2 linked regions of the Sus scrofa genome follow. The protein of the gene in region 1 interacts with the protein of each later gene in a biochemical or structural test. Links are inferred from orthologs where the notes say so. Each region holds a gene or a part of one and is shown in the gene's direction. Other genes may lie near its edges.

Region 1 (3,733 bases):
ATCACACTTTTGTGAGCAAACGTATAAACTATGATTGCTTACATTTAACATTTTAAGCTTCTATTTCCTTAATTGTAAAATGTGGATAATAACAGTACCTACTTACCTACTTTCTAAGGATTCTTAGAATTAAAAGAAATAAGACGTTTAACATAATGCCCAGTATTCTATAAAGGTCCATAAAATGTTTGTTACTGTTATACCTTTTTTTTCCTCAAGTGAAGAAAATAACTTTATATCCCATTTAAACTTTTCTTTTAGATGTGCTGAAAGACATTATGATACCGCCAAATTTAACTGCAGAGGTAGGTATAAATACACTCTTTTATGTTAGATAACTTGAGGCCAGTAGTCTCAATCTTGCTGTCATTGCAATAATGAATAATCTCAATTATCAAGTGAGATATTTATCTTAAAGATGGTCTTAGAGGGAGTTCCTGCTGTGGCACAGTGGGTTAAGAATCTAATTGCAGCATCTTGGGTCACTGCCTAGGTGTGGGTTCAGTCCCCAGCCCAGTGCAGTGGGTTAAAGCATCTGGTGTAGGTCACAGCTGCAGCTCAGATTCAATTCCTGGCCCAGGAACTTCGATATGCCTCAGGTTTGGCTGTAAAGTAACAAATAAACTTTTTTTAAAGATAGTCCTAGAAAATTTGAAAAATTTTACTGTTGTGGTTTTGGAAACAAATATCATATAAACCTGCTGGTAGTAGTACAAGGAAGACTAAAATTTAGAGTAGACTGAAAATAGGGAGAAGTTCTTAGACCAACAGTAGAATAAGGAGAGGGTTATATCTATAGTTTGAGGCATTTGGTGTAAATAGTAAGAGATTACAGGTAGAAAGAAAGCAGAAAAACTTAACTCTATTGAGGAACATGACCTAAATGGTGGAAAAGGGTGTAATAAAATATGGATAAGAGGAGCCCGATAGATGAGAGAAGGAGCTGCTTTAAATGAGTTCTTCTCCAGGTATAGTAAATTCTGTCTCAGAGCCCACAACAACTTTCATTTGTATTTGTGGGGACCCTTTGCACCATGAAAGACCCAGAGAATCGAAAAGCTTGGACAGGGTGCCAATGAAGTCAAAAAGAGAATTGGGTACCATGAGCTACCGATTGATATATTTGTCATTGATCCTTCTTAAATAACTAGAATGGACATTCCAGCACTTGTTTTGAGAATTAAGAAGTGCTTTAGCTGAGAGCCAGGATAGAATGTTTCATTTTTAGTGAATTTAGGCTACTGCATAATAATCAAATAGTCTTTTAATAGAGATTTAGCTAGCTTTAAATAGATGTTTAACAGGTTTACCTGGATGTTTTTGTATGCCATTGGGGAACCAAAGATGGTAGGCAGATGACTAAGTAAAAGCTGTCCTGATGACTCTGTGAAGAACTGTTCTGTCACACCAAAGGCTTAATTGAGCGTACCTTGTACCACATTGTAAATGACTTGCTTGATATAAAAGACATATTTTTTACATATTTAGATGATGCAGAGGATAATTAAGTACATGAATGTCGGGACTTTATAGAGTGGAATCTAGGCAGAGACCAATAGATAAAATTTAATAGTGATATATTTAAAGTCCTATTTTTGGAGAATTAAACAAACAAGCAAAAACCCTCTACTCCAATTATAGGGAACAGAGAAGTTTGGGGTTCTTATAACTCATGTGAAAAAACCTGAAACTTCCTTTAATAAACTTTACTATGATTTTATACATTTTTTAAATAGGTTTTTTTTTTCCCCAGTTTCTTTTGTAAATACTTTTAAAGTCATGTGTATACAGCACTATTAGCAAGACCATCTTTAAAATAACATGCTTGGCATTTTTATTGTATGAAGCACAAATTGCTATCTTTTCCATTGTTGATTTATTAGTGAACTATACTTTCTTTGAAACATACATTTTGTAATGATCCAATATTATAAGTACTGCAACTCCTTTTGTTAGAAAATATATGGTAAGCCCTGATAAGAAGGGCTCATGTGACATTTCATTTTGAGTTTACCTCCATTTCTGATACGTTGTGACCTCTGATACATTGCTACTCTATTGCAAAGTTTCCTCCTTCATAAAGTGGGGAAAATGATACTTGGCCTCCCTATCTAATGGGGAAATTTGAGTTAACAGGAGATTATTTCTATTTTCTATTTGAAAATTATCAGACAATTTTTCCCTGGAGTTCAGTTTTTATTTAAAATCTCTATTGAATTTATATGCAAGATTTCAAAAGTTAACCTACTTTTAATTAGCAACTCAGGAGAGATTTTTTTATTCTGAGGTTATCTTTTTCCACAGTTGCACAGTATCCTTTCGAAGACCATAATCCACCACAGCTAGAACTTATCAAACCTTTTTGTGAAGATCTTGACCAATGGCTAAGTGAAGATGACAATCATGTTGCAGCAATTCACTGTAAAGCTGGAAAGGGACGAACTGGTGTAATGATTTGTGCATATTTGTTACATCGGGGTAAATTTTTAAAGGCACAAGAGGCCCTAGATTTCTATGGGGAAGTAAGGACCAGAGACAAAAAGGTAAGTTATATTTGGTTTTTTTTTCATCCTTCTTCTTAGGTCTGAGAATTTACTAGAAAACAGAAAGCTAGTTGGTAACCCTTGTTTCTTTCCTCTAAACATTGAAATCAGTGTACTACCTTAACTTTCATATGAGCAAATTACTGATTCATTCAGCTTTTTGTTCATACTAGTATTTTCATATGATGCTAGCAAATCTTACCCATTAACTGTATTCCATTTTTGGTCTAGTGAAATCTTTGTGAAACATTTTAAAAAGCTCATTGATTAAAAGTAAGCTTGATATTCCTGAAGTTTGCTTGAGAATAAAGTATCTTTGGATAACGACTTGGATGCTATTACCTAATAAAGTGTGATCTTTACTTTTATAATACATAAAGATTATTCTTTGATATGAATATTTATAAATGTGTAATGATAATTAATATTAGTTAAAGGTTCTTCCCTTATTTAGAAGACTAAAGACTGTGCTAAAATCAATAACAAATTTGTGTAGTATATTTGAAGCAAAAGGTGAACTATTGGAGAATTTTTATAGTAATTTTCAAGTGATTTATTTCTTTGGGTAGCGAGTATGGCAAAATATGTTTACATTTCTTACAAAGGGACTTTGTTCATTTCTCTCCCTCCAAGAAGAAAAAAAACTCCAAACTATTCCAGATAGATGGAGAAACTTATTTAGAGAGCTCTACTGAGGAAGACATCCTAACTTTATATGAAAAATTTATCCTGGTTTTAATAATTTTTACAACGAGGAAGGTTCTCTTCCAGTTTAAGCTAATTTTTTTTTAACTCAGCTTCAAAACAGATATAAGTGATCGTAGCTGTCATTTTCAGCTGGGTAGTTGCATTGATTCTTGGTTCCTTTACTCCTTCCTCATTCCTTATTATTTGTCTTTGTTACTTTTTTGAATTTTATCTAGGATGCCAAAGTACTGTTTATTGGTGATCCTTTACAAAATTGTATCTTATTATTAATGCATGATTTTGGTAAATGTTGATTTTAACAGCTTGCCGTACATTTCTGTATACTGTGTATACCCTGGAATAATAGCATTAGAATAAATTTGAGAGCACATTCTGTCCTCTCCAGAAAAGAGGACCTGAAGATGCTTACTTTGGTTCATCCTTTTTTCATTTGGAGGGAAACAATTGCTTTTACTGATTAAAAATATAGAAGGTAAATTGTT
Region 2 (4,199 bases), on another chromosome or scaffold:
GGCTATGCGCCATCATGTGAAACAGTTCCTTACACTGCTTAATCAGTATCTGTTACAGAAATGAATTAATGAGGCCCATGCTGAGGGAGGCATGTAGCCAGAGACACTAGCTGCTAAATATTCCAGGTATGGCCCAATTTCTACCAAGATCGTTTCCCCCATTGTCCCTAAAAAGCAAAGAGGGCAAAAGCGGAATCCTATCAGGATGTAAGAGTGTATCCTTTGCCTATCAGAACTGCGTATCCCTAGGCAACTGCGACTTCTCTGAATCCTCAATTTCTTTTTCTTTTGCTTCTTTTTTAAGGGTTGCACCTTGCAGCATATGGAAGTTCCCAAGCTAGGGGCCCAGTCGGAGCTGCAGCTGCTGGCTACGCCACAGCCACAGCAATGGAGGATTCAAGCCGCGTCTGCGACCTACACCACAGCTCACTACAACTCAGGATCCTTAACTCACTGAGCGAGGCCAGGGATTGAACCCGCATCCTCATGGATACTAGTTGGGTTCATTTCACCTGAGCCACAACAGGAACTCCCTGAATCCTCAATTTCTGCCTTCAATCCTCAGACAGGTTTGTAGCCAGAGTTCAAAAGGGCAGGCTGGTTTCTGGCTATGCTTCGGGTTGACAGTATTCAGATACGAAGTGATTTTTTTTTTTTTTTTTTTTTTTCTTTTTACCGGCGCACTAGCGGCGTGTGTAAGTTCCCAGGCTAAAGGTCCCATCAGAACAGCGGGTGCCGGCCTACCCCTCAGCCAGACTGAGTCCTCCAGCCGCATCTGCCACCTACCCGGGGGCTTGCGGCAACGCGCGATTCTTAACCCCCTGATCGAGGCCCGGGGTGGAACCCGCATCCTCACGAAGCATAGTCGGGTTCTTAACCCGCTGAGCCACGATGGGAACTCTGACAAGACTGTTTTCATCATTCATGGATGTGAGAGCGTTTCTTGGCAGGAGCTTTTGCTTCGCGCAGCTCTCTGTGGATCTTTTCACAGAGTTAGAGCCGGCTGTAGTTTAATGGTGGTGGCGGTAACGTCTCCAACTTTATACGGCGACTCGTTGGCTAGCTGACAGGATTTAAATCACCCCCCCAGGGGCGGAGAGGAGCTTTCATTTCTCAAGGGACGGTACTCCCACCTCCCGTCGGAGACAAGGTCCTCCCAGTTCAGTGTGCCGCTCTGGCACAACCTTTCGTTTCGACTGCTTTTTTCCGCTCGCCAACGCCTTTTCTGATTGGTGCAGGCTTACGCTGTGCGCGCTGACGTCAGCAGACGGCAACGTTGCTATAAGACCGTGGCCGGCGGGCGCGTGCGCCTCTTTTTCCGTCCGGGAGTCTGTGGGTGAGGCGTGCTGGGGTGCTCTTTAGTCCAGGTGTGGGTTGTAAGGTTTCGTGGGCCATTCGAGTTTTAATGAGTACGCTAAAGAAGTTGGAGATGAAAAGAGGGTGGTTGGAAAGTAGTGGCGATGATGCTGCTTGTAAAAGCTTCAGGGGAGAGTCTCACGAGATCTTCCGTGGCCGCCATGAGATCTTAGCGTGGTTGTGGGACTGCGCAGGCGCTGCGCGGAGGCCTCACGAGCCACTCTTTCCCGCACAGGCGCAGACGGGCGAGCAGCGCCAGCATGCCGGTTGCTCGGAGTTGGGTTTGTCGCAAGACTTATGTGACCCCTCGGAGACCCTTCGAGAAGTCTCGCCTCGACCAAGAGCTGAAGCTGATCGGTTAGTACGTAAGGCAAGGTTTCTGCTTTTCGGGCCTGAGAAGGCTAACACGTGGGGGAGGCTACCCACTCGTTCATTATTTTCAAGTCCTGTGGTGTGTCCCCTTCCCCAGACGGACCAGTCTTGTGATCCTGTAAGCCACCAGGCTTAACGTTTTCACCAGTCCGTGGGACTGAGCCCATTTGCCCGTTTTTTTGCAGGCGAATATGGGCTCCGGAACAAACGTGAGGTCTGGAGGGTCAAATTTACTCTGGCCAAGATCCGCAAGGCTGCCCGGGAACTCCTGACGCTGGATGAGAAAGACCCGCGGCGTCTTTTTGAAGGTGTGTATGTGATCCCGCAGGGGTAGGATGAGGTGCAGAGCTCTGCTCTTCCTTGTAGGCTAGCTCAACGACCGGAGGTGTTATATGGAGCAATTGAGCCAGCCTTTAGTTGGAGTCCTGGGCTAGGAAGATGGGCTTGGATCCAAATTCAGGCCCTTAGGTGTGACTGGTTTATCCTTGCATTGAATTTCAGTTTTCTCTTAATTGGAACCTACAGTGCCAAGCAAGTGTGGGCACTTGGCTGTAGTGAAACAGTACTCTTCCGTATGTATCTTGTTCGCTGCTGGTGGGAATAGACAGTGGAGTATCTCAAATGTTGGATGCTTTAGCAGGAAGAATCTCATGTGCCTGCTTTAACACTGATCAAGGACATGTAGCCAAGGCCTGGACAGGAGAGGACCTGTGGATGTCACAGGGAAGAATTTGCAGGAGTTCCCGTTGTGGCTCAATGAAAACCAACCGCCCTAGTATCCAAGAAGATGTGAATTTGATCCCTGGCCTGCTCAGTGGGTTAAGGATCTGGCATTGACGTGAGCTCTGGTGTAGGTCGCAGATGCGGCTTGGATCCTGCCTTGCTGCGGCTGGCAGAGTCGTGAATGTAGCCCGGATTCAACTCCTAGCTGAGAATTTACATCCTTATGTCTCAGGTTCAGCCTTAAAAAGTAAAAAACAAAAAACTCCCAAAACATTTTAGGTAATGTTTTTGGAGGGGAAACATAGAGATCACATTGTAACTTGAAGGTAAAAATAAGTAAATTTTGGTAAAGTATATGGAACAAAATAAACTTTTTTTTTTGCCATTTCTTGGGCCGCTCCCTCGGCATATGGAGATTCCCATGCTAGGAGTCTAATTGAAACTACAGCTGCCGACCTACACCACAGCTACAGCAACGCCAGATCTGAGCTGCATCTGCAGCCTACACCACAGCTCATAGCAACGCTGGATCCCTAACCCACTGAGCAAGGCCAGGGATCGAACCAGCAGCCTCATGGTTCCTAGTCGGATTCGTTAACCACTGAGCCACGACAGGAACTCCTGAACTGTCTTAGATTCTGAAGGACTTAAATTTCTACCATGAGACAGGGTTAATGGAGTGCTTTCAAAAGCAGCAGTTGACATGATAATTCAAATTTTAGTAGTTTCTCTTACATTGTCAGCACAAGTAATCAGTAAATTGGGTTATTATGCCCTACTTTGTACGTTGTATTCTGGATGTGCAAGAGATAACACAGTACAGTTCCTGATCTTAACAGATGGGAGTCTGGCTGTAAATAGTTTTGTTGTATCTTGTTTGCTTTTTTGTAACAGCTTTTACTGAGATGAGATTTACTTAAAGTGTTTATTTTTAGTTATCGCTAAAATTGGCTACCTTATAGGTGTCATCCTGATAATGCTTTTGGCCTGAGCCTAGGAAATCTTGACTTCTCATGAGAAGAAGGAGGGGCTGGGAATCCAACTGGGCTTCCTTGGGCATCTGGGGTTGCTAGTCGGAATTTTCTCCTAATGTGCAAGGAAGGAAGTGTGTTTACACTCCTCACTGTTAAATGTGAGTGTTCATCGACATCAGAGGTTGAGGAAGGCTTGGAGTGTCTGTCTACACCTAGACCAGAGCCTCTGCAGTCACTTCTTAACCCCCTGTGCCACATTGGTAACTCCCCCATGGTTCTTTTTTAAGGATGTTGGTGGTTTAATAGTACATGGGAAACGTGTCTAAAAGATTTTGAATTATGGTGAAGTTTCCATTTTCAAACGGTAAAGACAGGGAGTTCCTGTTCTGGCTCAGTGGTACCGAGCCTGACTGGTAACCATGAGGACGCAGGTTCCATGCCTGGCCTAGATCAGAGGGTTAAAGATCTGGTGTTGCTTTGTCATAGGCCAGCAGCTGCAGCTGATTCTGCTCCAGCCTGCGAACTTCTTTATGCCTTGAGTATGGTCCTAAAAAGCAAAAAAAAAAAAAAAAAAAAAAAAAAAAAGTAAGTAGTAAGAACAAAAAGGCATTAAGTGTCCAGATTGTTAGATGATCCTGAATTCACTTGTTTACCACTGGATGTTCTATATTCCTTTTTTTTTTTTTTTTTTTTTGCTGCACCAGTGGCATATGGAAGTTCTCAGACCAGAGATCAAACCCTCATGGCTCTACGGAGATAGCACCAGATTCTGCA

Evidence for each region.
Region 2: the proteins of PTEN (region 1) and RPS9 form a complex in vitro, tested with the Homo sapiens proteins (2 studies listed by BioGRID). The link is inferred for Sus scrofa from reciprocal best matches to the Homo sapiens genes PTEN and RPS9.

The regions. Positions count from the first base shown.
Region 1 is NC_010456.5:99,992,087-99,995,819, forward strand, and holds part of PTEN (phosphatidylinositol 3,4,5-trisphosphate 3-phosphatase and dual-specificity protein phosphatase PTEN), read left to right. Parts: intron 1-261; coding exon 262-305; intron 306-2,304; coding exon 2,305-2,543; intron 2,544-3,733. UniProt on the Homo sapiens protein: Dual-specificity protein phosphatase, dephosphorylating tyrosine-, serine- and threonine-phosphorylated proteins.
Region 2 is NC_010448.4:55,924,323-55,928,521, reverse strand, and holds the start of RPS9 (40S ribosomal protein S9), read left to right. Parts: upstream 1-1,241; 5' UTR 1,242-1,336; exon of another isoform or gene 1,337-1,367; intron 1,368-1,591; 5' UTR 1,592-1,616; coding exon 1,617-1,713; intron 1,714-1,913; coding exon 1,914-2,036; intron 2,037-4,199. UniProt on the Homo sapiens protein: Component of the small ribosomal subunit. The ribosome is a large ribonucleoprotein complex responsible for the synthesis of proteins in the cell. Part of the small subunit (SSU) processome, first precursor of the small eukaryotic ribosomal subunit.